Linked DNA regions of Oreochromis niloticus. The protein of the gene in region 1 interacts with the protein of each later gene in a biochemical or structural test. Links are inferred from orthologs where the notes say so. Each region holds a gene or a part of one and is shown in the gene's direction. Other genes may lie near its edges. The genes, in order: lef1 and mitfb.

Region 1 (12,750 bases):
TAGCAAGTCTACAATTTCACTTTTATTTTTTTAAAGTAAAATGTACGAGTACTTGTCTTTGCAATGAATCCACACAGTATATAGCTAATAACACATGTCCAAATATACTCACTTCTGGCTTTTAAAAAAAACATAGACTGTATATAAAAGATAAAAATAGTGTGACATCACCCACTGGTTAGTCAGACCCTAAGCTGAACGTTTGCACCATGCTAGCTTTGTGAAACCAACCACACAGGGCTGATCAATGGCTAACGACCTGTCAATCATGATTTGTTAGCCAATGAGCATACCCCCATTAATAAGGAAGATTATCATTGCCAAGCTTATAATCAACAAGCTTTCATATTCAATATGACATGAAATTAACAATGAAACTCATTAAAGTCATCAGGAAAATGTTTACAGTGACATGGTAAGTGTGCCAAGAAGCTTTTTCTCACTACAAAAATAAAAAGGAAAAAAAAAAACACAACCGTAAATCTTTTTGTGGCCAGAGAAATAAACCTAACATCCTGCTGGCCCCCCGATCAAACAAAACAAACAAAAAAAACCCCAAAACAAACAACTAAGACAGCAACAGCCACAGTTCTAAAATTGAAGCTTCAAAACAAAATACATCTACATAACCTGACAAATTCCCCTTCCTTTCCATCAAGGAGATAATTTCATTTTAATGACAGTTTGTCTGAGACAAACTTCTGACAACATTGCCATAAATCAACAGATCACAGGCCTGCCTCTCACTTCCTTCACCTTACCCCCAAGACACTTTCCTTCCCTTCAAGAAGGTGACTCATCTTCCACCAATCAAAGGGCTGAACCAATAATCACTCAACCCGGACCTCCCCCAGTTTTGATTTGCACGTTTGATAAATGGTGTCTTTTCTCGGCTTTAATTGCAAGCCCTTTTCATCATAATTTAATGTTTGTTTCCTGTCGTTTTCTTGAAGGTGGCTGCGAGTGCAAGGGCTGTAATTTTTTTTTTACATGAAGGAAGTTGTTATGTGTGACTAGCAGGTGGAATAGAAGGCAGAGTAATGATTTCAGCACTGAAATCACCCGGCAAGTCATTTAAGTAACTGATAAGGACAAATGATAACACCGACTAGGCTGATTTCACACACACAGACACAGCACACATACACAGCACAGTGTGGGAACAAGAGATAATTAGGGTAATTTTTGTTTGAAGTGTTATGCATCGCAATGAAAATAGAACAGATAAAAGATGAGACAATAATAGATCTAAAGAGGACCTTGACTGAATGTTGTTCCAACAAAGAGCATTTTGTTTGACACGATTCATACTGTATGCGAAACCGAGATCCTGTCCCAACTTTACAAGAGGAGGAAAAACATCATATAAAACAAAATAAGCTAAATATGCATTATTAAGTTCATCAACACTTTGGGTCTTACCACAATGTGCAGACCATTAAAATATTTATTTCTTCCTTGAGATAGACTACCAGTCTTAAAGGAGGGAGAAAAGAAATCAGAATCCGCTGGTGATGAATTATGCCGTGTGTATAGATACATTTCTTCTTTTATATAACATGCAAAATTGAGTATCTAAAGTGAGAGACAACTGAATTCAGGTCACAGCGCTGCAGGAAATCTTCCTTTTCATGTGAGATCCAGAGGGGTCACTCTTATGAACTCATTAGGAGAGAAATGCTAATGTAGCTCTGTTTTTTTCCTCCCCTTCTTCCTTCTCTCTCTCTTTTCTTCCCACTTCAACTTTCCTGCTTGTTTTAACAACGAGGGCCGTGATGCATAGAGCCAAGCTGGAATATATAATGCAGTTTCATGTCAAGGGAAGGTGTGTTAGGTGGTTCTGACAGCAGTTCATTAGAGAGGCTGTCGCTGGTTGCCTTGTCATCAAGTCCCAAACTAGAATTATTACACAGCAAACAAAAGCTGTATGTTATTTGTTTGTTGTGTATGTATATATATATATATATATCACCCAGTGAACAAATAACCTCTCCTCTCAGGGTTGCTAATCAGGAAGATGGACTTCCTGCAGTGGTCTCTCATCATGTAGCAAAGGGTATTTAATAATGAATCTCTCCCTCACTCATGGCTTTCACAAACTAGCTTTCTTTCCAAGACCAGAATATTAAATTACAATAAACAAAAAAAATCCAAACCCAGCTGGAAACACAATTCAGCTGAGGCCAAACTAAGCTAATATGTAGCATTATGAAACATCTGCAATAACAATATAACATAAAAATATACACAGGTATTTGATAGTTGGCATTCAATTGTTTTACTGATAAATGTTTTTTATTTTTCCATAACTACTTCTGTCACTGATCCACTATGTTTCATAATTTTATTTTAAATTTTTTTTAGTCTGTCATGATGGAAAAATCTGTTTTATTTTCGTGATTCAATTGTGCAGATATTATTAGTTTTTCTTATTAGTGTTAATTTATCTTCAATCATAGTAAATGTCTTCTTGGTCTGGACTGCTTTGTTGCTGATTTATCTGCTCGCTGATAAGGGTTCCACAGATGCTGTGCTGTATATGCAAAAATCATTTTAGAAAGAAAAGTAAAGAAATTATCTCCCTAAAAATCTTTGATCTATTGCTGATTGTCTCTGTTTATTCGCACATTTAGTTTAAGAAGGTCAGAATTACCCTTTGCAAGAGACCTTTTGAGTAAAAAAAAGTTAAGCATTGTTATGGTTTTATATAATTGTTTGTTTTATGCATTTTACACATTGCATAGGCTATAATCACATCTTAATATACAAAAATTTATTTATTCTTTGGGAAGAGTTTTGCTGTGAAGAACTGTCACCATCTCCCTGCCAGTCTTACACCTGGCACTGGCACCAAAGTGTGCATTAAATCCACACTTCAATCAGTTTAAATCATGTTTGTATATAATTGTAATCAAATGGGAAACATAAAGTATGAATCTGTTGAGTGTGTTTTTAGACTGTTAAACTGGGGCCTACTGTGTCTCACTGATGCTGAAAACAGAGCATTAGGATTAAGGTTTATATGTTGCATTTTATCACGTATTTGAATGCCAATAAACCAAAAACCAAAGAATAAACATGAGTCATTTATGCTTGTGATTTATATTTAATCTGTTTCCTTTTTTTTAAACACTGTGGGATCTTTCCACTTCAGAGGCCCTGCAGGCCTGTACTCTCTCTTTTTTAGTATCTTAATAGGCCTTAATGCAACCAAAAGTCGCCCCCTCCTCTTCCCAGATTTTTCCCTTTCTACCAATTTTATCATTTAAAACCATATCCAAGGTGAATGCAGAACACATGCAGGAAAGAGAAAAAAAGAAAAATATATTTATACAAGTGTAAAAACGGTTAGGTTGCTTCTGTTAGCATGGCTTTAGGGTGTTGGTGGTGCTGTAGCATCATTTGAGATCGCGCCAGGAAAAAAAAATAGTGCCGGATAATTAAATTAAATACAATGTAATGAAGTAGAACCGACAGTTCCTACAGAGAGGGGAAGATTTCTTCTTTTTTTTTCTACCTTGTAGGCTATCACAGTTTTTGGCTGGAAACAAGAAAAAATACTGTTAAAGGGTCTTGTAAATGAAAGCTTTGCTTGTTCTTGTCTGCCTGTGTGAAATCTTTCTAATTAACTCTCTTTTTCACTGCTGTGTTTTTGTGCGCGTGTTAGTGTGCGTGTGCTGCGGTCGTGCGTAGCCTACTTGTGCGTGAATGTGTGTGCGTACGCGCGTCGCGCGTGCGGCGGCAGCAGCAGCAGCGCGCTTTCCGCTATACTCTGGAATGCAGCCAGTCTCGGCTCTTTTGAATCCACACTCGGCTTCCAAAACCCAAAAGCCTTTGATCTTTTTTTTTCCTCGCTGTCTCCTTACCCGGAAGAGAACCCCTTCTCTCTCTCTCTCTCTCACTCTCAGCTGGGATGAACGCACACGTGGAAATGTTGGCCCGACTCCACACTCAGACCAAATTTAGTCATACAAAGGCAAGGGAGAGCAGGAGGGGGAGGAGGGGATGGGGGTGGAAGAGGGAGGAAGGGAGAGAGGGAGGGAGGTGGCGGTGGAAGCGCGGGGTGGTGGGGGAGTCGGGGATGAAAGAGCCAGCCGCCGCAAGATCAAAGGCAGCCGCGGCTCCGCCCCGCTAACCCACCTCCGCGCTTTATAAAGATCTGCCTCCCCATCCCAACTTTGATTCTCACGCAATCTCTTAGTGCTCAGACAGACGCTGAAACTCAGCCACTTCCACTGCCTGTTTTGTTTACTTTCCTTTTTCTTAAAACAACAAAGCAACAACTGTATGTTCTCATTAAATACATCGGCATTAAAGTACTCTTTTTTTTTTCTTATAAATATTCTTCCGCTCGTCTGCAGCTTGATATATACGGTTTTTTTCAGTGGTAAAAGTAGCAAACAGACCAATCGCTGGTGTTTTCTATATTTTTGTTAATTTCAATGCGCATGTGCTAATAATGAATTAATATGCAAAAGGGACTTTAAATATAGGCAGGTAACCTGTGAGTACAATATGACATTTTCTTTTAACCTGGCCATTTTTGGGGGCGAAGACTTTCTGAATACGTTCTTGTTTGTTTGATGTAAGTAGAAAACACGGAAAGCACCATGTAGCCACAAATATGCCCACGGTATACCGCAAGGTAGTTTAAAGGGAGCTGAATAAATAACAGGCCTATGTCCCTTTATAGACATACACCTGATATATATATATATATATATATATATATATATATATATATATATATATAATTTTTTATTTTTCCTAACACTTGGAGCATACTTTGTGTGTTTTTCTTCCTCTAAACTTCCCTCAGCTTATTATTTTTTTGTTTCTGTTTCCAAAACAGGCCATTGCCACTTCTTGCAGATTTATTAAATCACATCTCCAGCACCAACAAAACAGGCTTAAGCTTGTCCAATATTTTTCCCTCTATATTTCAATTATCATTTTTTATTTCTCCTCATTATTTTTAACCCATCATATACACAGCAAGTTCCAGCCTCTCCGCTCATTCTCCTTTTCCTCCCCTCCTGTCTGCCCATTTGTTGTGAGCTGTGTATAAATCTCTCTCTCAGGAGGAGTGTCAATCGGTGCGGTGTCAATCAGAGCCTCGGCTTCCCTTTCATCTCTCTTTCTTCCCAGTGACTGAAGAGAGAGAAAAAGGAGGAGGAGGAGGGAGCACGGCTACATTACCAACACACACATACACACACTGGTTACATTACGCTGTGGAAGCGGTGCGGGAGCAGTGGGAAGTCGGGTCCACGGCGTTTTTCCACTCTTGCCTTCTTTTTTTGATTGTTTTCTGTGATTTTCTTCTTCTTCTTTTTTTGGTTTTTGCTTTTATCCCTCCTCATCCGAGCAGCTTCGAGGATGTATTTTTAAGCATCACGGCGTCTCGCTGCGTTGCTTGTCGCCCAAGTATTTGCTTGTTTAAAAAACCCCCAACAACAACTGCGTTTTCTTCCAGTTACGCATCCATCACTTAATTTTTTTCCTTTTCCTCGTCTTACTTTCCCCCTCCCTCCAACCTCTCCACACGCACGCTGAAGGACGCTCGCAGCTTCGTCTCCGGGACCACCGAGGAAATATCTTCTCTCACTTTTCTAAATGTACTTTTTCACGTTGAGTCGTTTTTACGGGAACGCGGCGGTCGTCGCGTGCTGACTTCAAACAGAAAAAAAGAAAGAAAGCGAGAGGGGAGGAAAAAAGATGGTGATGAGATTTTAACTCGTGGTTTGTTCCCCCTTTTTATGTTTTCCTCATGACATTGAGGCGTGCACTGGACTTCTCATTCCGACCCCTTTGCATCTCACTTTTTTTAGTGTGTGAGTTTCAAGCTTTGTAGTTAAACTCTCGTGACGGAAAAAGAGCAGAAAAGAGGGGAAAAAACAACAACAAAAGGACGCCGGCAGCAGCCTCGCGCCTCCTGTTGCTTCAGTAAAAACACACCGGCAGCGTGCTCACACGCCGCTTCCTCTCCGGGTGACTCTCCGGTGTGACACAGGGGAGGAGGTGGAGGGGGGGAAGGCAACGGTTCCCACTCCGTTTCGGTGGGAGGTTTTTTTTTTTTTTTCCTTTTTCATCTTTCCCCCTCTCTATCTCTGTGTAGTTTCGGGACAGTGGTGGCACGCGTTGTTGTCTTCGGTTTTCTCGGGGAAGCGAAACACTTTGTGAAAAAATGCCCCAGTTATCAGGCGGCGGCGGAGACCCGGAGCTTTGCGCCACAGATGAAATGATCCCGTTCAAAGACGAGGGGGACCCGCAGAAGGAGCAGATCTTCGCCGAGCTGAGCCACTCGGAAGAGGAAGGGGACCTGGCAGACATCAAGTCATCTCTGGTCAACGAGTCGGAAAGCAGCCCCAACAGCAACAGCCACGACGTGAGTAACTGCTGTGGGTTCACTGATGTGGTGGTGGGCATCTACTGAGAGCTCCCCAACAGAGAGGGAAGGTTAATAAAAATAGAAATAAAAAGCCCGCAGGAGCCTTTAAAACAAAAGTTGATCTCCTCTAATTAATAGTATAGTTTTTTACTGAGCTTTGGTTTACCTGAATGTCTTGTGCGCGAAAACGCCTCCTCTCCCTTTGCTTAGTTTTATAGACGAATCGTTTTTAGAGCTTTATTATTTATTATCATTATTAATTTACGATTTCCATTTTATTTTCCTTTTAATTGAAAATGTAACTTGAGCTGTGCCACTGATATGGCTATGATTCCTTAAACTAGAAAAAAAAGATGCTCCTATAAATGTCACAGGCCAACACTCAGCAGTCTATCCACTGTAATCAGTGCAGGCCTAAATTGTAATGTTCTATTACAGTTGTATTTTTCTCTAAATGAATGAAATTGCAGATTGAGCTAAATGCAAAAGATATTGTATGAGATGTGAGAACTGGGGCCTTGTGAAGCTGCCTGTGACAAGCAGGGCTCGGTGGCTGTGCTGGCTGTGGTACACCCTCAGCAGCTTAAACACCAGCACATGAATCCATTTAGCACACATGGCTTAAAACCTGTTTGCCAGCAATACTGTGAATTTCCTTAACATTCACAATTTTTAAAATTCTGCCTGGATGAAAGGATGCGGTCTTTTATTTCGTTTTCAAGATCTGATCTTCACACACTCCGGCTTATTCTGCTCATTATTTTTATTGCCTCTTTTAAACTGTGACTATAAATTATTCTTTTCAGTTTTTAAGGTTGGAATTGGGGGGGGGTGAGTTGTATAATAAAGATTTTTCTGCATTTGCTTTGTTCCATTTGATTAAACTGAAAGGATGCTGAGAGGCCAGATGGGTGCATGAGAAGAAATCCTTGCATGTGTGGATGTGCTGAATTTGTGGTGAATGTTAAATGGATTGAAAATCTCAGTGGAAAAATTCTTCGAGATTAATTTTTAATGATTAAAAATTATTGCAGTCGTGCTTTATATATCGCACTTGCAAGATGGCTTTTTTTTTTCTAAGCAGGGGAGAAGTGACAGAGCGTGAACCATCAGTGACTTCTTTTTTCCCCCCGCATCCATCAAGCCTACCTCAGGATGCAGGCTGCAGCATCCCCATCATTTAAGTTGGCTGTTTTGCCATTAACTGTGGTGTTAATCCATTTTCTTTCTTTCTTTCTTTTCTGATTTAAAAAAAATTCTACATGGCTACATCCTGAACGAAACTGTACGCATTCCCCGCCGAATGTCCTAGGGACACACGAGACAGAGGCTGAATGTTAATTAGGAATCTAGTGAAGTTCCCTCGCTCAGCTTGAAGCCATCCTGAGGGGTCTGAACTCTAAAAAAGAGGTCCCCTTCCCAATTCGGATTCGAAAAGAGAAAGGAAATGGGTGTTCAAAGTGCAGAGGATTTTTTTTTTCTTTCATTTTTTCATAAGCAGAAAATAGTCTGCACTGTTTCCCTTTTCGTTTTTTTATGGAGCGATTTTATTTCACTTTGCACACAGCCATTTCATTTATGACAGAAACACACTATTTGAATTTAGAAGGAGGCTCAGACTGGGAGATGAAAATGAGAGTGGACCTATGGTACTGAAAACAAGTTAATTTGTAAGCTCCTTAAGGACATGAAGCTTAATTAAGTGGTTCTTCTGAAGCTTTGATGCAGGCTGCTCCATCACTCTTCTATAGATAGTGGTGTGTGTGTGTGTGTGTGTGTGTGTCTGTCTGTCTGTCTGTAAGCTTTCTCTCCTTTGGTGACAGGCAAAGGGACGATGTTTGTCCCAGCAATGTTTGTGGCTGTCTGACCACATCAGCATGTGTGTAACTGTGTTTGGATGCCTTTCTAATTGATTCTTCTTCTTTTTTCCCCTCTCTCTCTCTCTCTCCCTCTCTCTCTCCCTCCCTCTCTCTCTCTTTTTATTTTCTTTCTTTCTTTTTTTACAGGCAGCTAGACAGTCCCAAATACCACAAGATTCATATCATGAAAAACACAGAGACCATCCGGAAGATGGTAAGAGACACAATCTGGAGCTTGTTAAATCAGCATGTGTTATAGGACAATCAGCGCTACATTTATTTGCAATAAAAGTCCTTTTTTTTTTTTCTTTTTCCTTTTGAAACATGGTTTGCTTTTGCTTTAGAAGATAAGGTGGAAGTAGTGGCCCCTCGTTTTCACCACGCAGAAGTGATGAAACTGTTGGTACTTCTCTTATCAGAGCCCCTGTTCCTGCTCATCCCAAGTCTAGTCAGGGCATGCTGTACCTTCATAAACACAGCTACCTGTTACCTCCCTCGTAGATGAGGGTACCTGCACAAATGGACATCAAAGAAAAAGGAGCAAAAATATGCACTTATGGCAGCAGCCTCAAGTTGAGCACAACCCAAAAGCAAAACTTTTGTCTGGATGTTTCGTGTCGTGTTTCCTCAAATATTTCCGTCGTATCCCTCAGCTCTCCGGTTGCATTGTCGCATGCAACATGTTGCGGCCTCTTGGGGCTTGTTGCTCTCTGGCTATTGTAGTCTGACCCCGCTGCTGCGGGTCATTATTAGGGCTTTGAAGAGGAGTATGCCTCCTCTTTGTTCCCCTTTCACTCCTGAATAGGATCCCCTTCAAATCAAACACTGGCTTTCTTCACAACAAGATCTATGTTGCTGTCGCATTGTATACCAGAAACAGCCCCAGCCCCTCCAGGCCTTATTACGCCGCGCACATTCGAGTGGCGAGTGATGCTGTATTGAAGCCTCTTGTGCAAAGCTTCCCCCCCCCTCTCAGGTCAAAGGCATAGAGGAACAGTTGGGGCGTCTCCTGTTTTGACACAGTCTGTATGTTCTTCTAATTGGTGCTAATTGGCACAGAGGGGCTCCATTGTTCCGCTGCATAATATGACCCGCCTCTGTGAGGCGGAAAGAAAAGGCACAAACAAAAGGCCGTGGCAAAATAGGGCAGGGGTTAAATCAATCGACAGCGATATCATTACTACATCAAAACAGCCAGGCCAACTTTGTGCTCGGCTTTGTTGTTGCTGCTTATCGAGTTTGTTGATTAAAATCAGCCATTTCGAAGATATGACTGTAATTAAAGCTATTGAATCTTTGGCTAATTAATCTTTTACTGGTGTTTGTGCTCTCTGTGCAAAAACACAGCGACCGACACACGTTTACTCTGTTTGTTTTTTTTTTAAATGTTTTTATTAGGAAAGCATCAAGACATGTACAGTAAAGGCCATCCGTACCCGGGCTACCCAGGTTACATCATGATGAGCAACATGAACACTGATTCCTACATGAACAATGGCTCCCTCTCGCCGCCCATGCCCAGAACGGTCAGTACCAGCTTTTTTTTTTTTTTCCTCTCCACAAGTCAGTATTGCAGTTTAACTTGTATTATTTCATGATGTGAAATGCAAACTTAAGCTTGAGGCGTGTTAGTCGGCATATCATTTGCCAGTGAGACAAAGAGTAATTTTCTAATTTTACGTCGTAAGAATATAAAAAATTATTTAGTTATGAGAAAAGTAAATAATTGACAGTCCTGAGTGATGAAATGAATACAAAAGCAGGGTGTTTTTAGAGAGAAATTCGTTTTTTTTGGATGGGTTAAAGCTTTTGGGTTTTTTTTTGTTTAGTTTTTTTTTTTTACTACTGTTAAATGATAGTAGATGTTAATAATGGTTTGGAACTTCTGTTTAATTAATTAGTGCTAGTGGGAAGGAAGGCAAAAACAAACATGATGGGTAACTTTAAAACACCAGCAGAGATTTAACTGCTGACTTTGCACCTGCTCAGATTTAGTCCAGGCTCGGGACAAAATTTCTCCTGACAAGAGAAACTAAAAAGCAAAACTGAAATTAAGTTATAGTAATGTCACATATCCTGCTAATGTAGCAAAGAGTGTGGTCAGACTGAAGGAGCTATTGCTTTACCTACCCGCAGACTGTCAAAAGGTAACCAAGAGGCAGCGGGACATGCTGTTTTTTTGGTTGCTGTTGTAGTTGTTTTGTTTTGTTTTGTTTTTTTTACTCATGACATTTTCACAGTGATCCCAGAAATAAATCAAATTTATGTGTCAGACGCTTGTTGAGGAGTGCAAGACTTAATCAAAAGTGTCACCTTAGAACAAGATTAGAGTTTTCAGGACCTTTTTTTTTTTAGTATTTACCATTTATGATGTATCAGCTAAAAATAACCTCATTGATCTTTTTGTAGCTGTGACTGCTGGTTTCTGTTTTTAACCACTGCAAATTCAGAACTTCATATTGTCGATTAGGTGAAATCTGTGGTCTCTGAGTTTTCGCTTGTGTTAAATTTAGGAGACGTATCAACACAACTAAAAAGATATTTGCTGCTCTTTGTGAGATAAATAAAAGATCCTTTGCCAATGTGGGACGCTTTTCGTGGTGTCTCTCAGGGAACGTTTAAAGATTTATTACAGAGATATCCCTCTTTAAGCTTTTGGGTAAAATTGACTCAGAGTTGGATATCAGCAGGTAAATCATTTTACAGAGTGATCTGATTGGTGGCTTTGAATTTTTTTTTTTTTTTTTTTTTTTTTTTTTAAACCATTTAGTTGCGAGAAAATAATTCCTGCTAAAAATTCAGCTCAGCCCAGAATACTTCCAAGAGTCGATTAAGAGGATTTAAGGAAAAAATCAGATTTCTCGGCTTTCTCGTTAGAGGCATAAACCTTATTTCATCATCAGAATAACCCCACAAAAATATTCCCTTTCAGTGTGTGTGATGTTTGATATTTGTCTCGCCGTTGTGTCGTGCTGATATCCGCCCCCTTGACAGCTATACGTGACCACTGAAAACCAAACGCCAGCCATACATTGCGAAAAGGTCTCTGTGAGATGTACACCATTTCTCATCTTGTTAAAATCTGAAGTGATGCATGCCTACATGACCCAAGTAAACCCTCTAATTAGCCCAGCAGAACTGAGGGAGCCAAAATCACGTCTCTGGGGCTACCCTGCAGAAGAGCTTATAGTACCGTGTTAGGGGTGGCGTGTGTTGCAGATATCGCCCCTGTGACGGTATTAATTTCAGGCCAGCTGCAGGTCTCTGACTGGCGGCTTCCTGTGTCTGTCCCGTTTGCAAATTTCTCCTCAAGACAGACATAAAACACAGGCCCACGAGCAGCTGTCCGGTCTGGCCCTGGTCTGCTCACGTCTCTGCAGCCAGCTTCAGTCTTGTCTACGGTGTGGCGTCTCTATACGGGAAACGCTCGGTTGTTGTGCTTTTGCAGTGCGTGCGAGTCGGTTTCATCAGGGTAAAGTTGTGAAATGTGAGCTCTGTGTTGTTGTAAGAATCGGTTTTTGGAAGCAGATGTGATTGTCGGGGGCAGATGCCACATGCTGTGTGTAAAGGATCTTCATTCACACGCAACTCTATCATAGAATGATGTTAAAATTGCAATGCTTCCTCCCTGCCAAAGTTGCAGAAGGTGAAAGTATGTGACATTGTGGATTGGGGGGGATCTTGATTACCTCATGCTTTTTGCTTTTTTCAGTTTACAAGCAGGATAGTGCAAAAGCGGGGTATGTTACCTTCCAAATACTGTTTTTGGCTTGTTTTGTGGTAGATTTTAGCTGTTATTTTATTGTATAGCACGAAGCTAAAAGAAAAACTCTTCTAAAATAGAAGTCTGTATGGAGACCAGCTGACTGTGTGAGAGGAAATTACCCCTCACTGCAGATGAATTAGGCCAGGCAGTTAGGCGGTATACTTGCTGCCAAAACTTCTAAAGCCACGCTTTCATTTCATTTACCATGGCTGCTTTTTTTTTTTTTTCTTCAATTTTCCTCCTTCCCTGTCTTCAATAAAACGGTAGTCATTTTATATACGTTTCTCTCACTTATCCAATAAAAAGAGCCAAGGCTTGGTGGAGGGATCACGGAACATGAGTCCTCTGGCTTTCTCACTGATGTCAGCTTGCTGCCTCTGCTGCTGGCCACCGCAGCCACAGTATCTGCAGGCCTGGGATCGGTTTTCACTGAGATCAAAGGCACATTCTCTCTTTCATTCTCTTCCATCCCCAGCCCCATCACCGCCCCCAATCCCAGTAGTTTAGATTGATTTCCATTGACCATGACATTCCTGCACATGCCGTCCAGTCACGACGGAGCTGTTGGGAGTTGCTGATTGTCAGCAGATTTTAGGACTTCCAGCTTGATAAGCTGACTCCGGCACAAGAGCTTAGAATTTGATGTGTGATGATGCCAGTTCCCCATACGTGTGGGTTTAAAACAAAGCTAGCCAACTTAAGGAGTCATTTATTTGTTAAGTGAACTCGCAGCT
Region 2 (12,750 bases), on another chromosome or scaffold:
GTGTGTTTCACATGTGCTATTCATTTCTGTTCCGGAGTGACGATGCCCCTAAAATATTCATTACTGCCTTTACTCTGGCTCATCTGGTAATTCTTCAAAGGAAACAGGCACCAAAGTCACATACAGCATTCAGTTTTCTCACAGGAATCTCATTGACATAAACTAACAAATTGTTGTTTGGTTTGGGTTTGTTTTTTGTTTTATTTTGTTTGGTTTTTTTTCATTGACCTTAGACCCCTAGCAAAAAACAAAAACACTAGTGTCACTGCAGTCTGCTGTAAATGCCGTTGCCTGCCAGCATGGCGAGGTATTCCCACCCCCACCCCCATGCTCTTGGATTTCTGACATCAGACATGAATAAGTATCTCATTAAGATCCCCCAAAACCATCTGCCCAATGAGTCTCCTCCTTACAGGAAAAATGCTCTCATAAACAAAAGAGTAGGATTCCCTCATTACCCTCGTTACCCTCATTAGAAATTATTCTATCATCACTGGCAAGCTGTGGTTTTAATTTATTCCAGGAATGGGCATACTTATTAAGACAGCATGTCTCCACTTTTTATAATCGGATTTCGCAATTCAGTTAATAAACCCCCAAAATACTCATTAAAACTGCTCACAGGAAGTATTCTCCAAGTTATCACTCTTCATCAATTTCATTGAACAATGAAAACACAATATTTACTTAAGGGGTGTGCATCAAATTTTATGCACAACTAACTGTGTTTAACTGCCATTCAGTTTTTCATAAAGTCCTGGAGAAATGCAGCATCACTGATAAAGTATGACTTTCTTGAAGCTCATTAAACCAAAACAGCTATTTTTGTACTCTCAAATGCTGTTTTGACGCATGTGCTGGATAGTGTTTTGTTTTGCTGATGTTCGACCTGAGCTCTACCTTTGAGACTGCTGACAATCACATTATGTGTAACAGGCTGAAATGCTGGATGGTTACATGGGGGTGTCCTGATGCATGCTAAATCATGCAGGAAAGGAAATTCCAGAAAGTTGATTCTGTTCATCTGGACGTTACATTTTCAGTGGGAGAAAAGTTTCGACACTTGGACGCGGAATGAAAATCTTCTTTCTGAGAGTGTATAGAGGTCTGCTTCGGTGAGACTGTCTTCAAATCTGTCAAGTTAATCTTTCCCTGTAGCTGCTTCCAAGCTACAAGGTTCTGTTTTGGGGTCTTTACTGTTTCTGTTATAGCTCTGCTTTCTTCACCATATGTCTACCAGTGTTAAGGACATTGCTTATCTATGCTATGCAGATGACATTGGGTTATATATCTCTGTTATGCACAAAGATTTTTCTAAGTTACAGATCTTGCATGGGTGCTTAGACTACTAAGCAACTTGAAAAGTTGAATGGCTGACAACTTTCTCCAAAAAATGAAGCCCTTGTTTGTGCCCCTGACCGATTTGTGCCTAAGGTAGTGAAAGCTCTCCTCGCCCCTTTTGGTAAATCTTCTATCAGGAATCTTGGGGTAACTTTTTAACTGTGGATGCTCATGTTAAGTCTCTGGTTTGCTCTTGCCTTTATCACTTAAGAAGTATTGCCAAGCTGAGTTTCACTGTGTCACCCGCTTATTTGGAAAATGTTACTTATGCCTTTATTTCGTCACACCCGGATTATTGTAATTCACTGCTCACTTGTCTTAACAAAGTTTCCTTTGAATGTTTGCCGGTTATTCAGAATGCCGCTGCGAGGCATCTGACTAAGTCTTCTAAGTACTCACATGCCACACCATTGATAATTCAGTTTCACTGGCTTCCTGTCTGCTCTAGGATTCTGCTTGTGACTTTTAGAGAGCTGCATGGACAAGGACTGGCATAAGTCAGTGAATCTTTACATCCACAGATTCCCACCAGGTCCTTGAGGTCATGTGATCAGGGCTTGGTAGCTGGGCTTCATATAAGACCGAGATCTAAAGGAGTTAGAGCTGTTGCAGCAGTCCCCCACAGACTCTGGAACTCTCTCCCACTGAACTGTGGACTCTTTTAAAAAGCAGCTAAAATGTATCTTTTTAAACTTTTGTTTTTATGTTCTGTCATTTATGTTGTGAAGCACTTTGTTATATTTATATTGAAAGGTGACATATACACAAGCTTTTACTTACTATTTAAAAAAAAACCCTGTCTATCTGAAACACAAATAAACATTCTTATAATAAATAATAATACTTAGTTTATTATTTGGGCTAATCCGACATTTGTTATGGTACTTAATTTGCTAAAATGAGTCCTGGTTTCTTGGATTGGTGTGTTTTTCAACAGACAAGCTGATCAGCAGCTGATAGTCATCCTTACTAGAGCAACCGGACACCTTCGGCTCATATTCCGCGATGTTGTTTGGCAAACGGTTGCAAGTCACTGATGACTGGATGGCAGACTTCAAGTTAAAAGCCGTGACTGAAAACAAAGGTAAACCAGAGTGTTTTTTCATACCTGAGCCGTTATCGATGACCTCCACTGCAGTTCATGTTATTTTATATGGTAGAAATGTTTGTACTGGCTGCCTTTCCAATCTGCACATCCTTGAGTAAATAATAGTGTGTTAGTCTTTGAATAGTTATCCCTGTGTTCACTTATCTCAGGGCACATAGCCAGGATGATGCAAGATATGTGGGTTGTTTTAAAGAAGTTTGTAACTGATACCAAAGTATTCATATTGTCTCCAAGTACCAGGGTTTGAAGATGTTATTGGCATTACAAAACAATGTGTATATTCAGATATTCAAATATTAAACAAATATTATTAACAAATCAGTCCTGAACTCAAATTTAAGTGAAGTAGAATTTTTTTTATGTATGCCCAGCTAAATGAAGCTGAAGCTGAAGATTAAGAGTTCAGCTAAACATATAAATTGTGAAGGTTTTCAATTTATAATAATTTTATTTCAACAATTGACCAGATATTTGTCTATGCAAACTTTGTTTTCGCTATAGGTAGAAAAATGGGAAGCCATAAAACACTATATTTTTCTGCAAAATGAAAAAAGAAATCATTAAATGCACAACTGCCACAAAAGTTTATGAGGTGTGTAAGTATTTATTTACAAACCGTTTCTGCCAAAAAGAGATATAGCACTGACACTTGGATAACTTGGAAAACATGAACACAAACATTGGTTTTCTACCTAAGGGCACTGAATCAAGTTTATTTACTAATGTGCTGACACTGATGATCTGTGCAGGGTGCATGCTGTCTTTCACCCAACATACTGTGGTCCCCCTCTGTTATACAATGGCTGGAAGGGTGGATGGCTCGCTGGATGGATGGGTTGATGGGTGGATGGCTGGTGAGCAGGCTTTTGCACTGGCATTAAAACTAAGAATTTTGGACTCTTCTGACACAGTGATTTTTTTTCTTCTCATATTCAGGTCCTTAAATTTATATTTTCTTGCTTTATTGAAGAATATTAATTTATGTGTTATAATTTGCAAAATCAGCATATTCTTATAGGTATTTAAGAAATGATGTTTCAAAGATAGAAAGATCACTGTGCTAAGAATCGTTTTCTAAATAAATTGACTTCAAAACTACTTTTATTTAAAATATATCTTAAAAATATATATCTGGAAGTAAGTACAAAGGCTGTAGTAGTCTACAAATGTTACAGGTCTAATGCAGTTGGGGGGGCTGGGTAATCAGTACCTCAATTCACCCAAGTACCACATCACAAGTAATTTATCTGTATATTGTAGATCGGATTCTCTGGAGCTCCTGTGTCATGTCATTTGGCTGGATGTATGTGAGTCTTCTTCTCCTGTGTGTCTCAGAAATAGTATTGCAGAAATACAGAAGAAAAAAAACACATTCTGATCCCATTTCTCATTCTGTTCAGCTATCATCGTTTTATTTAAGGCTTTATTTTTAGCCTCCGGGTATGTGCTTTCCAGCAGAATCATATTTGCATTCTATTTGCATTGGTAAAATACAGACTTTAAACCAGTTCAACAGGATGAGGGTGAATGCAAATATTGAACTACCTCTAAATTTCCATTTTATAATAGAGGGTGCCCCCCACACCCCCGCGGGCTCACGAAACTGTTTTCTAGCTCTATACTCCCACCAAGTGGTAGACAAGACTTCAACTGAGGAGACCAAAGTTGGTGTGCTGAGAACAGCGCGTGGGTGAGAGTAGGAGACGAGCGGTCAGTCAGTCTGCACAGGGAAACGGGGAAAAACAGAGACATGAGGCTCGTCTTGAGGTTGGTCTAAAGTCGGGTGCAATATCTGCATGACCCAATAAGAGACTTGAAGTCTAAATATCAAGGTTGCGAATGATCTGCAATGTAAGAAGTGCCGTTATTTATGTTTTTATTTAGATTTTCTGAACAGTTTCTGTGCGATTGCTTCCAGATTTACTCATTTAACTGACTGTTACATCCAGTGTTTGGTTTTTTTTGTTGTTGTTGTTGTTTTTATTATCAGAAACACACAGTCTGATTCTTACTTACTTCAAGGTCACTCTGGGCATGTGTGCTTTAAAGGCTTTAAAACAACTCACTAGATATTGTTTTTATTTTTATTTGCAAACAATGTAGTTATGCTTTCGCAAACTTGCTTGAACAGCATGCCCAGGTCACAAAGGCTGGATTTTTATTTTTTATTTTTATTTTTATTTTTATTTATTTTTTATTTTTATTTATTTATTTATTTTGCGGGTGGTGGGCATGGTGTAAAATATAAAATAATTCATTTTTATTGTGATAGCAAATTAACGCACTCCATTATTTTTAACCAATATTAAATGTATCTGCATTCAGGCAAAATGTGGAGACCATTTCTTTGAATGCAAAATCTAAGAATGCAAACACGCACGGCCACTGGAGCAGACGCTACTAATTCAAAATAACTCTTTACAGCCAATTATTGCGAAATCCACACTGCTGAATAAATATTGCTTATGGAAATGAAACTCTGACATTTCAGTTTCACTAGTCGAGCAAAAAAAAAAAAAGGGTTGTGTAAAAATCCCCTCGGATACTGCAGCCAATCAGAATTGTGCTGACATTTACATCCCCGGAGCATTTTGGTAGTTGTAGTTTCTGGATTATTTGGAGCCCGTTGGCTGCACTTTAGCCGCTGCCGCGAAGGACTACAGAGCTCCGGGTCCTGGGCAGAGGCGGCTTGCGTTGACGGTTGGTACTGTGCGGAGTACTGGGGCACGAATATCACCCGTCTGTTTTTTTAAAGAGGGTTTAGCGTCTCCAAAAGTTGACATCTGCAAGTATGCAGTCGGAATCGGGAATAGTTCCTGACTTCGAGGTCGGAGAGGATTTTCAAGAGGAGCCTAAAACGTATTACGAATTGAAGAGTCAGCCCTTGAAAAACAGGTCAGTTCTTTTGCCGTGGACAGTTATTTCTCACGCTGGAGCGGTTTTTGGGGTTAAGGTGATAATTAGGCTGCAGACTTTTTAAAGTGTTGTCCAAAGTCTATGAATGTGCGGGGCTTTCTCATTGATGTTACTGAAGCTGGTCCCGGTGTACCTCGTTCCTTATGGTCATCCTGCTTGCATGAAGTTATGCAACACATGGGTGTTGTCTTGTCAACATCAACTTCAAATATTAGCTCACAGAGGAGCAGACAGGTCAGAGTTTAGTAAGGTGATGCTCAGCCTGTCTTGTGTTGATGGCTGATATTCAGGTTCTCCAAAAGCAGAATGGTGAGTTATTGTTATTTATTAGATTTTTCTTTAAATCCCCCGAGAATTACCTCTTTTTTAAGTATCACTGCATAACAACATGTGTGGTAAAAGTGCCATAAGTCTACTATGGCACTACACCTTGTGCATTAACAGCTTTGAAGTGTCAAAAGTGTGTAAGAAAGTATTAACTATTAGATAAGCTGTAGTAAAATAAATAAAAAAATCAAACCTGATGTTTCTTTCAGTGGAGGAGTGTAGCCTTCTTTACAAGCTCACAGTTAATATTAAATGCTCTAAAGTTGTTTAAACCAATAAAATAAATCAGCAACCCAAGAGGCAGACAAAATTTAGTTTTCAGCAAGTTGATGGCCTATTAAGAAGTTGTAAAACTTAAGTGCATGTAGTACTGGACAAAGTGCTCCAAGTCCTGACAACAGTTCATTCTTGTAAGGACACAGAACAGAAACAAAAAACAGCTTGCAGCACTGACGTTTACTAATTTAGTTTCAGCTTTGACACACTGAGGCCTCAGAAACATTTAGCTGAGTCAGATCTATGTGGTGTGATTTCACCTTTCACCCTATTTCTGGAAGTAATGCACAGCAAGTTTGATGTCTTATACATATGTCTTATACATGTGTTTAATGCAATGAAATGACAGATTTCCTGTCAACAGTGTAGCATATCAAAACAATATTGAGAAACTTTAGAAGATGCCCTTTTTTGCTTTCTTACAATTTTCACTCTTACTAAGAGTGAAAATTGATCCCAGAGGTGGGAAATATGTAGCAAAATCTATGAGATGACTGGAAGGTGAACTTAAATTTGTTTTGTTTTAATGTTTTATGGGAACATGTTTTTTGTTCTTATTCTAAACACCTTCTCATTTAGAAAAAAAACAGCGTTACATCTTGTTTCGACTGACAGTGAACTGTACTATTCTCAAAACTTAGTTGGTGTGATTGATTCAATTTAAATTAAGTAAGAAAACATGTAACAACCACATGTTACATACACACATTTTTTTCATTGTAATTTATGATTGCACCTCTATGGGTGATTTCAAGTCACAATGAAATATTGTTGGGGTGTAATATAAGTCGTAAGTTATAACATTTTCATGCCCCCTCTGTGATGAGGATGGTGATGACGATTATGCATCTATTACCAGGATGGTGTCAGAGTTTTTGTATTTTGTGTCTGCTCCTCTCTGTTACGTAGTTTAGAGGTGGTGATACATGGCCTCATTGTCAGGGCGAGACATCCAGAGGACAGTACGCCACTGTGTTCGGACAGAGCTCTTGCTGCAGACGTTCGCTAGACTCCAGTTATTTATTTATTTTTCTTTCCTCTCGTTCTTGATATTTTCTTGCAGATTTGCGGTTTGTCTCGTTTTCTCTAAATTCAATCAAAACAACAGTTAGAAGAACTGTTAGAGGAAGAACTGTCATCTTGGACAGTCTTAGCCTTTAGCCTAGTTCTGCATTTTTTAAACTAATGTCTTCAATTTTTTCATTAGTGAAATGTCATTACACTGTTATACATCCTTGGCCTGAATCTGAGGCTGTGTTGTTTTTGTTGCTGGTGTAGCAGCAGCAGCAGCAGCAGCAGCCATTCCAAGTATACGCGAAGTATCAGCACGGTTTGTGAATCATTGCTGTTTGTTTTTCTTTATGTCATTTTTCTCCTGAATGTGTGAAGTCGTCTGAACCGTGGCTTTGATTGAAGGTATCCCACTTCCCCTTTCTATCACATGAAGATGACCCAGCATAATAAATAGTCACGATGACTGTGCCATAAGACAGTTTTATGCAAAATGGTTATAATTAGTTTGATTGATTACTGAGTTGTCTGATGTCTTCTAATAGCTGCTTAAGAAGTATCTAAATTTGAAGTTTTGTGTGCGACAAAATGTCATCTTAGCTTTCATAGATCTATTTGTTTTCTGGCTGTCTGCGCATCAGTTTGACAGAACACACAGACTGCTGCTGACGTCGTGCCAACCTTTTTGTGCCTAATATAGATGTGAGACAGGCGGCGAAACTAGTCTTCTATGCAGTGTAAATAAGCTATATAAATTTAGCAGGGAATGTGTTATATCAGAAACTGTGAGTCGAGGGATCTTTTTTTTTTGCACCCTCAGTCAATGCAGAGGCTGAAAGTTTTGCGTTCTAATGAACAGGCTCGATTATGAACATAGCTTATATTAAATCCATATGGATGAATAAATATTCAAATGTCTTACACAGAAAGATCCCCGGCCAGTAAAGATTAGCAGATGCTAGGCAGAAGGAACCAAACAAACAAATGTGTTGCATTTACATCAGCCTTACAATGAAATTTTCTTGTTGCTTAATTAACGTGTTTCTGTAACAATTTAGGCCAGAATTATCACTTTTAACATTTAATGCCATACATACATCTTTCAGCCACAACATTAAAACCCCTACTTGTTTTAAGCCACAAAAACAGCTGTGGCCCATTGGAGCACAGACATTGGGGGTATTCTGTGGTATTATGAACCTTTTTATTGGCAGACCCTTTGGTCGTGTGGGTTGTGGGACTGGGTTTTTGCAGATGGAGCTTCGAGCTTTTTGTCATTTGGGATCTTGGCGTGGAATTATGTATCAAAGTTACACCCGCATGAATCCTGGATCCCAAGGTTTTCTGGCAAAATTGCAATTGCTAACAAGATTGTCAGTGTTAATCATTTCATTCGTTGTTTTTAGTGCATCTCTATCTGTTTAAATATAAAGACTTCCTCAAAAGCTTTCTTCAAATCATACAAAGCTGAAAATAAAGAATTGAATGACTATGAAAACTTGACAATGGGACTTGGTTTATGTTGCTCAGTAAATATCTGTTTCAATAGCTCGCAATGGGTCTTTGTGGGTCGGGTCTACACTTCGGGTTCTCTCTCTTGGATCTTGGCCTGAGGGGTAAAAACATGAATGGAACTCAAAGTCTCCTGAAAAAACTTTCTTCTACACACCTGAAAATAAAGAAGAATCAGATTTAAGTCAGCAAAAACTGAATCATAAATTAGACCAAAAAGACAAAGACTGCGGTCAAAACTTTTAATGCCGTAAAACTCTGTTTACTTTTTTACTTTTTTTTGGTTTTGGTAAAGAAGAAATTATAATGAACCTTAGGGCACTTTACATAATAATGATAGCTGAGAAAAGAAAATAACCTCAGGCTTACTCTTAATGCACACTCCTTACAGGCATGTTTGGATGATGATGGGTCTTGAATGTGGATGGAGTTCTTTGGAAGAGACATTTTACTTTACCTAAAAATGACAAGGACGCGGAGAAATACAGAAGAAATATTGTAGTTTTCACAACTTATTAGTGTCTAACAATCAAATGAGCATCTTGGTCATTTGTAGTAATATTTTGGTATGAAAATAAACCTTTCAAATTAAAATAAGAGAGATGGAAAGGGGATTTAGTAAAATGATCGGGATATCCAAATATCAATTTAAGTTCTTCTGCAATAGAACTGAAGTACAGAATAGGTATTTAAGGTCAAAGCAATGAGCCAGTGGTCGTGAGCTGAGTCAGAGTTTGAGGGATATGAAACTATGTGTCCAGAGCAGCTTGTTCCCACGGGGTGTCCTAGACAGAGATGCCAAAGAGGTTCATCCATGATCTAAGAAAGACCGAGGGGCTTAAGTGACACAGACAGGTGTTGAGGCTGGAGTAAAATACAGTCAGAACAACTTGTCCTGTAATCATGGTTATTTTTCTGCATTCTAACCTCTTATGTGGCTTCTCAAGCACATCTGCTTAAGATTTCTTCATAAAGAATGAAAAAAATAAAATAAAGAAAAAATTATAAACTCTACATCTTTTATTTACTGATTGATTTGCGTTTGCAGTGTTAATATTCCTGACTTGTGATCTTTGTCTGCCTCTGTTGGTGCCCAGAAGGAACTGCAATAATAAAAGAGGCCTTTGAGTGTGGCTTTTATTGACACAAGTAATTATTCTTAACAGTTAAAAAAGAAAAAGTAGCCTTCAGGCATGATCATGTCTAAAGCCTTCAACTAGATGATTTGTTATTGATTAGTGCAGAATTAATTCATTGTTTACTCAATAAAATACAAGAAGAACCAGAACTAGTGAATCTTTGGCACGTTCGCTTAAAAAATGACTAAAATGACTCATTAACTATTTAAGCAGTAAGTTGTTATTACAAGTATATATAGAAGTTATAACAAGTAATTACTAGCATGCATTAGCTGTTGAAAAAAATACCCTTCACTGTTAAACAGCTAAAACAAATACCTTTACACGGTGACTTAATTATTAAATTTTAACTTGTGGTTAAGACGCACATAATTGCGTACAGTTATTTTTTTTCAGAGTCATATTTTACAGCAACGAAACATTACCATGGTTCATTTCCGAAGAAAGAATGTGTTGATTGTCTGTTATCACCTTCAAAGAAAGCCGAGGATAAATCAGTCTCAGAATGAAAAGCTGTTATGTTGTGCTTGCACATCGTTGTTATATCAATGAACTTGAAAATCTTCTGCACTCATTCAACCTGCTGTAAGGAAACGTATCAAAGGCTCCTCCTTACTGTCCTTGGAAGCTCTACTTACTCTTTGTTAAAGCGCACAGGAAAGAGAGGGAGCTGCAGCTAGAGCAGGCCATCCTGCCGAACACAAGTGAGGGGAATTACAAAGAGCACAGAGCCTAATTACAGAAATAAGACCCAGCAAGTTCTAGTTATCCCATCCAGTCCTGGCTTCCTGGAAGCATATTGCAAAGTACCTGATTTGCTTTTTAGATGCTTTTACGACTGACCCTGTTTTGTTGTGCTTTTGTACTTGAGTGTGAAATAATTATGTACAATTTTTATTTTAACAGTTCTTTATGGAATAGCAATTGTTTTGTAGACCATTGTTTTTTTTGTTTTGTTTTTTAAAAAAAAGGCTATTATAGCAACAGTCAGTGACAGTTGATGCTTTACTAGAGGTCAGGATATCTGTGAGTCACGACATTAAAACCATGTACCTAATAATGCGTAGGGCCCCTCCATATCTCCAAAAAGGCATTGCTATATATAACTTTATAGACTATGCAACAAAATGCTGTTTTGTCTGTGTTTGATGAAGCTAAGGTATTTCCTGTGCTTATGCAGTGTTTATGCACGGTAAATACAAAGTTTCTACCCAGATGTTTACCTAGATATTTACAGGATTAAACTATTTACCTCATCTGAATCATTTGTACAGTTGTTTTTCTGTTTGTTTTTTAGACAAATAAACAAAAAAAAACAACACTTTTATTGCATTCCCTGTGTACAAACCCCACATAATTGACGGTCTAGACATGCATACAGATGCTTTCTATTATCTATGATTTGCCTGCTTGTGACTGACTCCATCCTATCATGCCAGCTGCACCAAGCTGGGCATGTTTGAGCAGCACAGGAGTCCAAGTAGATCAATGCACTGTCATGTAGGGTCATAATCACTCATTTGTATTCCAGCAGAGAGGTTGTGTAGTCTGCTAGAAGGGCAGCAACTCCTGCAGTTTGGTAGAGAGAAAGAAAAAAGGAGACAGGATTGTTACCAGTATTCAGTTTGCCTGTGTCTTGGTTAGATTGCCTATTTTCACTGCTCTTATCCTGTGCTCACTGTATAGTTATATGCAATGTGGTCTGTGTAAGTCACTGTCTACTTCCACAATTCATCCCATTCCTCTTTATTTACCTAAATAGAAGCTCCCGAGTTAAATGATGAAAACACACTGAACGGCCACCAACGGGATAAAAGTTGAGTTTTAATGAGTTTAATGTGGTTTCTTTAGAATACACCTAATCTGGGGAGTGATGTTTAAACTAATGAAAATGAGCACACAGTGTGTCTTTTATTTTTCTTTCATGTCAGTTCATTTCTATTGTGCAACGTGTAGTCTGCCAGCCTCTTGCAGCAGCAGAACATATGTTGCATTCTCCTGTTTATTTTTTTGCAGTTGTCATTTGAAAGTGTGTATTTGTATCAGCCATGAAAGCTGTAAGAAAGTCATGCTAATATGTACACATATTTAGTTCAAATTAAGGTCAATCAGCAGATGAACGTGAAGTCAGCTTGGTAGTGTCAAACTTATCATTATGCACTGTGAAGGTCAAACATGAGAGGAAACAATAAGCAGCATATTTTACAAATAAAGGGAGACTTTAAGGTTTAAATAAACCATTTGAAATCCTTTCAATTTCTCTAAAATGCAGTGTCACTTGTCAAAAGCAGACAAGTTTTTGAGTTGTGATACTTTTGAGATACAAGATTTTCACAGGACAGCGACCCCTACTTGGTTGTAGTCCATCTACAACACGTGTCGGCACATGTCTCTAAGCGTAACACTATCTGCGTGGTTTTAAAGCAGCGTATTGATGGACAGTGTGTTTCCAGCGAACGCCTGCACGCTCCTCTCTTCTGCTTTGCTGTTGCTCTGCACGGGGCTGGTCCTATGCCTGGGACTCTGCGTGGCGATTGGAGATTCCAGGCCGGGCCCTGGAGCCTCCCCTCTCTGACACACTTTCAGCGCTGCACCACCAGCATGACTTTCACTGCTCTCCAAGGGCGGGTGGTGCACCTTCAGGGAAAAACAAACAAATATGGAGGCTGTAGGAGTGCAAGTGTACAGACCCTGTTCATTTGACTGTCTGTGAGTATGGCGCCTCAGCATCTGTGGTATTGCTGCAATGCATTAAGGCTTTATTTTGGAATCTATATGTTTGTTCAACACTATGTACACATGAAGGGCACCATGCACTGAGCTGTATGTGGGAAGTAGTCTTGGAAGATTTCTCCTTGTGTTTTTATGTGCTGAATAGTTTTTGTATGTCAGGATATACATTTATCAGGCTATTATAGTTAATTGCAGCTCGTCACTGGCCACTTATAGCGAGGGAGCTTAGAAATCTCATACTTAAGACATAAAGTAAATAACAGAAGAGGTATCATGTTTTGGCATGCTAGTTATTTATTTTTTTTAATGAGACTGTAATGGTAGAGTTATTATTCAGTCACACAGAAGTCATTAGGTCTGCAGAATCCATCTCCTGTCAATTACCAG

What was found.
Region 2: the proteins of lef1 (region 1) and mitfb form a complex in vitro, tested with the Homo sapiens proteins (2 studies listed by BioGRID). The link is inferred for Oreochromis niloticus from reciprocal best matches to the Homo sapiens genes LEF1 and MITF.

What each region holds. Positions count from the first base shown.
Region 1 is NC_031971.2:18,070,537-18,083,286, forward strand, and holds the start of lef1 (lymphoid enhancer-binding factor 1), read left to right. Parts: upstream 1-4,812; 5' UTR 4,813-6,187; coding exon 6,188-6,388; intron 6,389-8,397; coding exon 8,398-8,464; intron 8,465-9,648; coding exon 9,649-9,776; intron 9,777-12,750. UniProt on the Homo sapiens protein: Transcription factor that binds DNA in a sequence-specific manner. Participates in the Wnt signaling pathway. Activates transcription of target genes in the presence of CTNNB1 and EP300.
Region 2 is NC_031984.2:11,678,301-11,691,050, forward strand, and holds the start of mitfb (melanocyte inducing transcription factor b), read left to right. Parts: upstream 1-5,095; 5' UTR 5,096-5,240; coding exon 5,241-5,344; intron 5,345-5,554; exon of another isoform or gene 5,555-5,674; intron 5,675-12,219; exon of another isoform or gene 12,220-12,289; coding exon of another isoform or gene 12,290-12,339; intron 12,340-12,750. UniProt on the Homo sapiens protein: Transcription factor that acts as a master regulator of melanocyte survival and differentiation as well as melanosome biogenesis.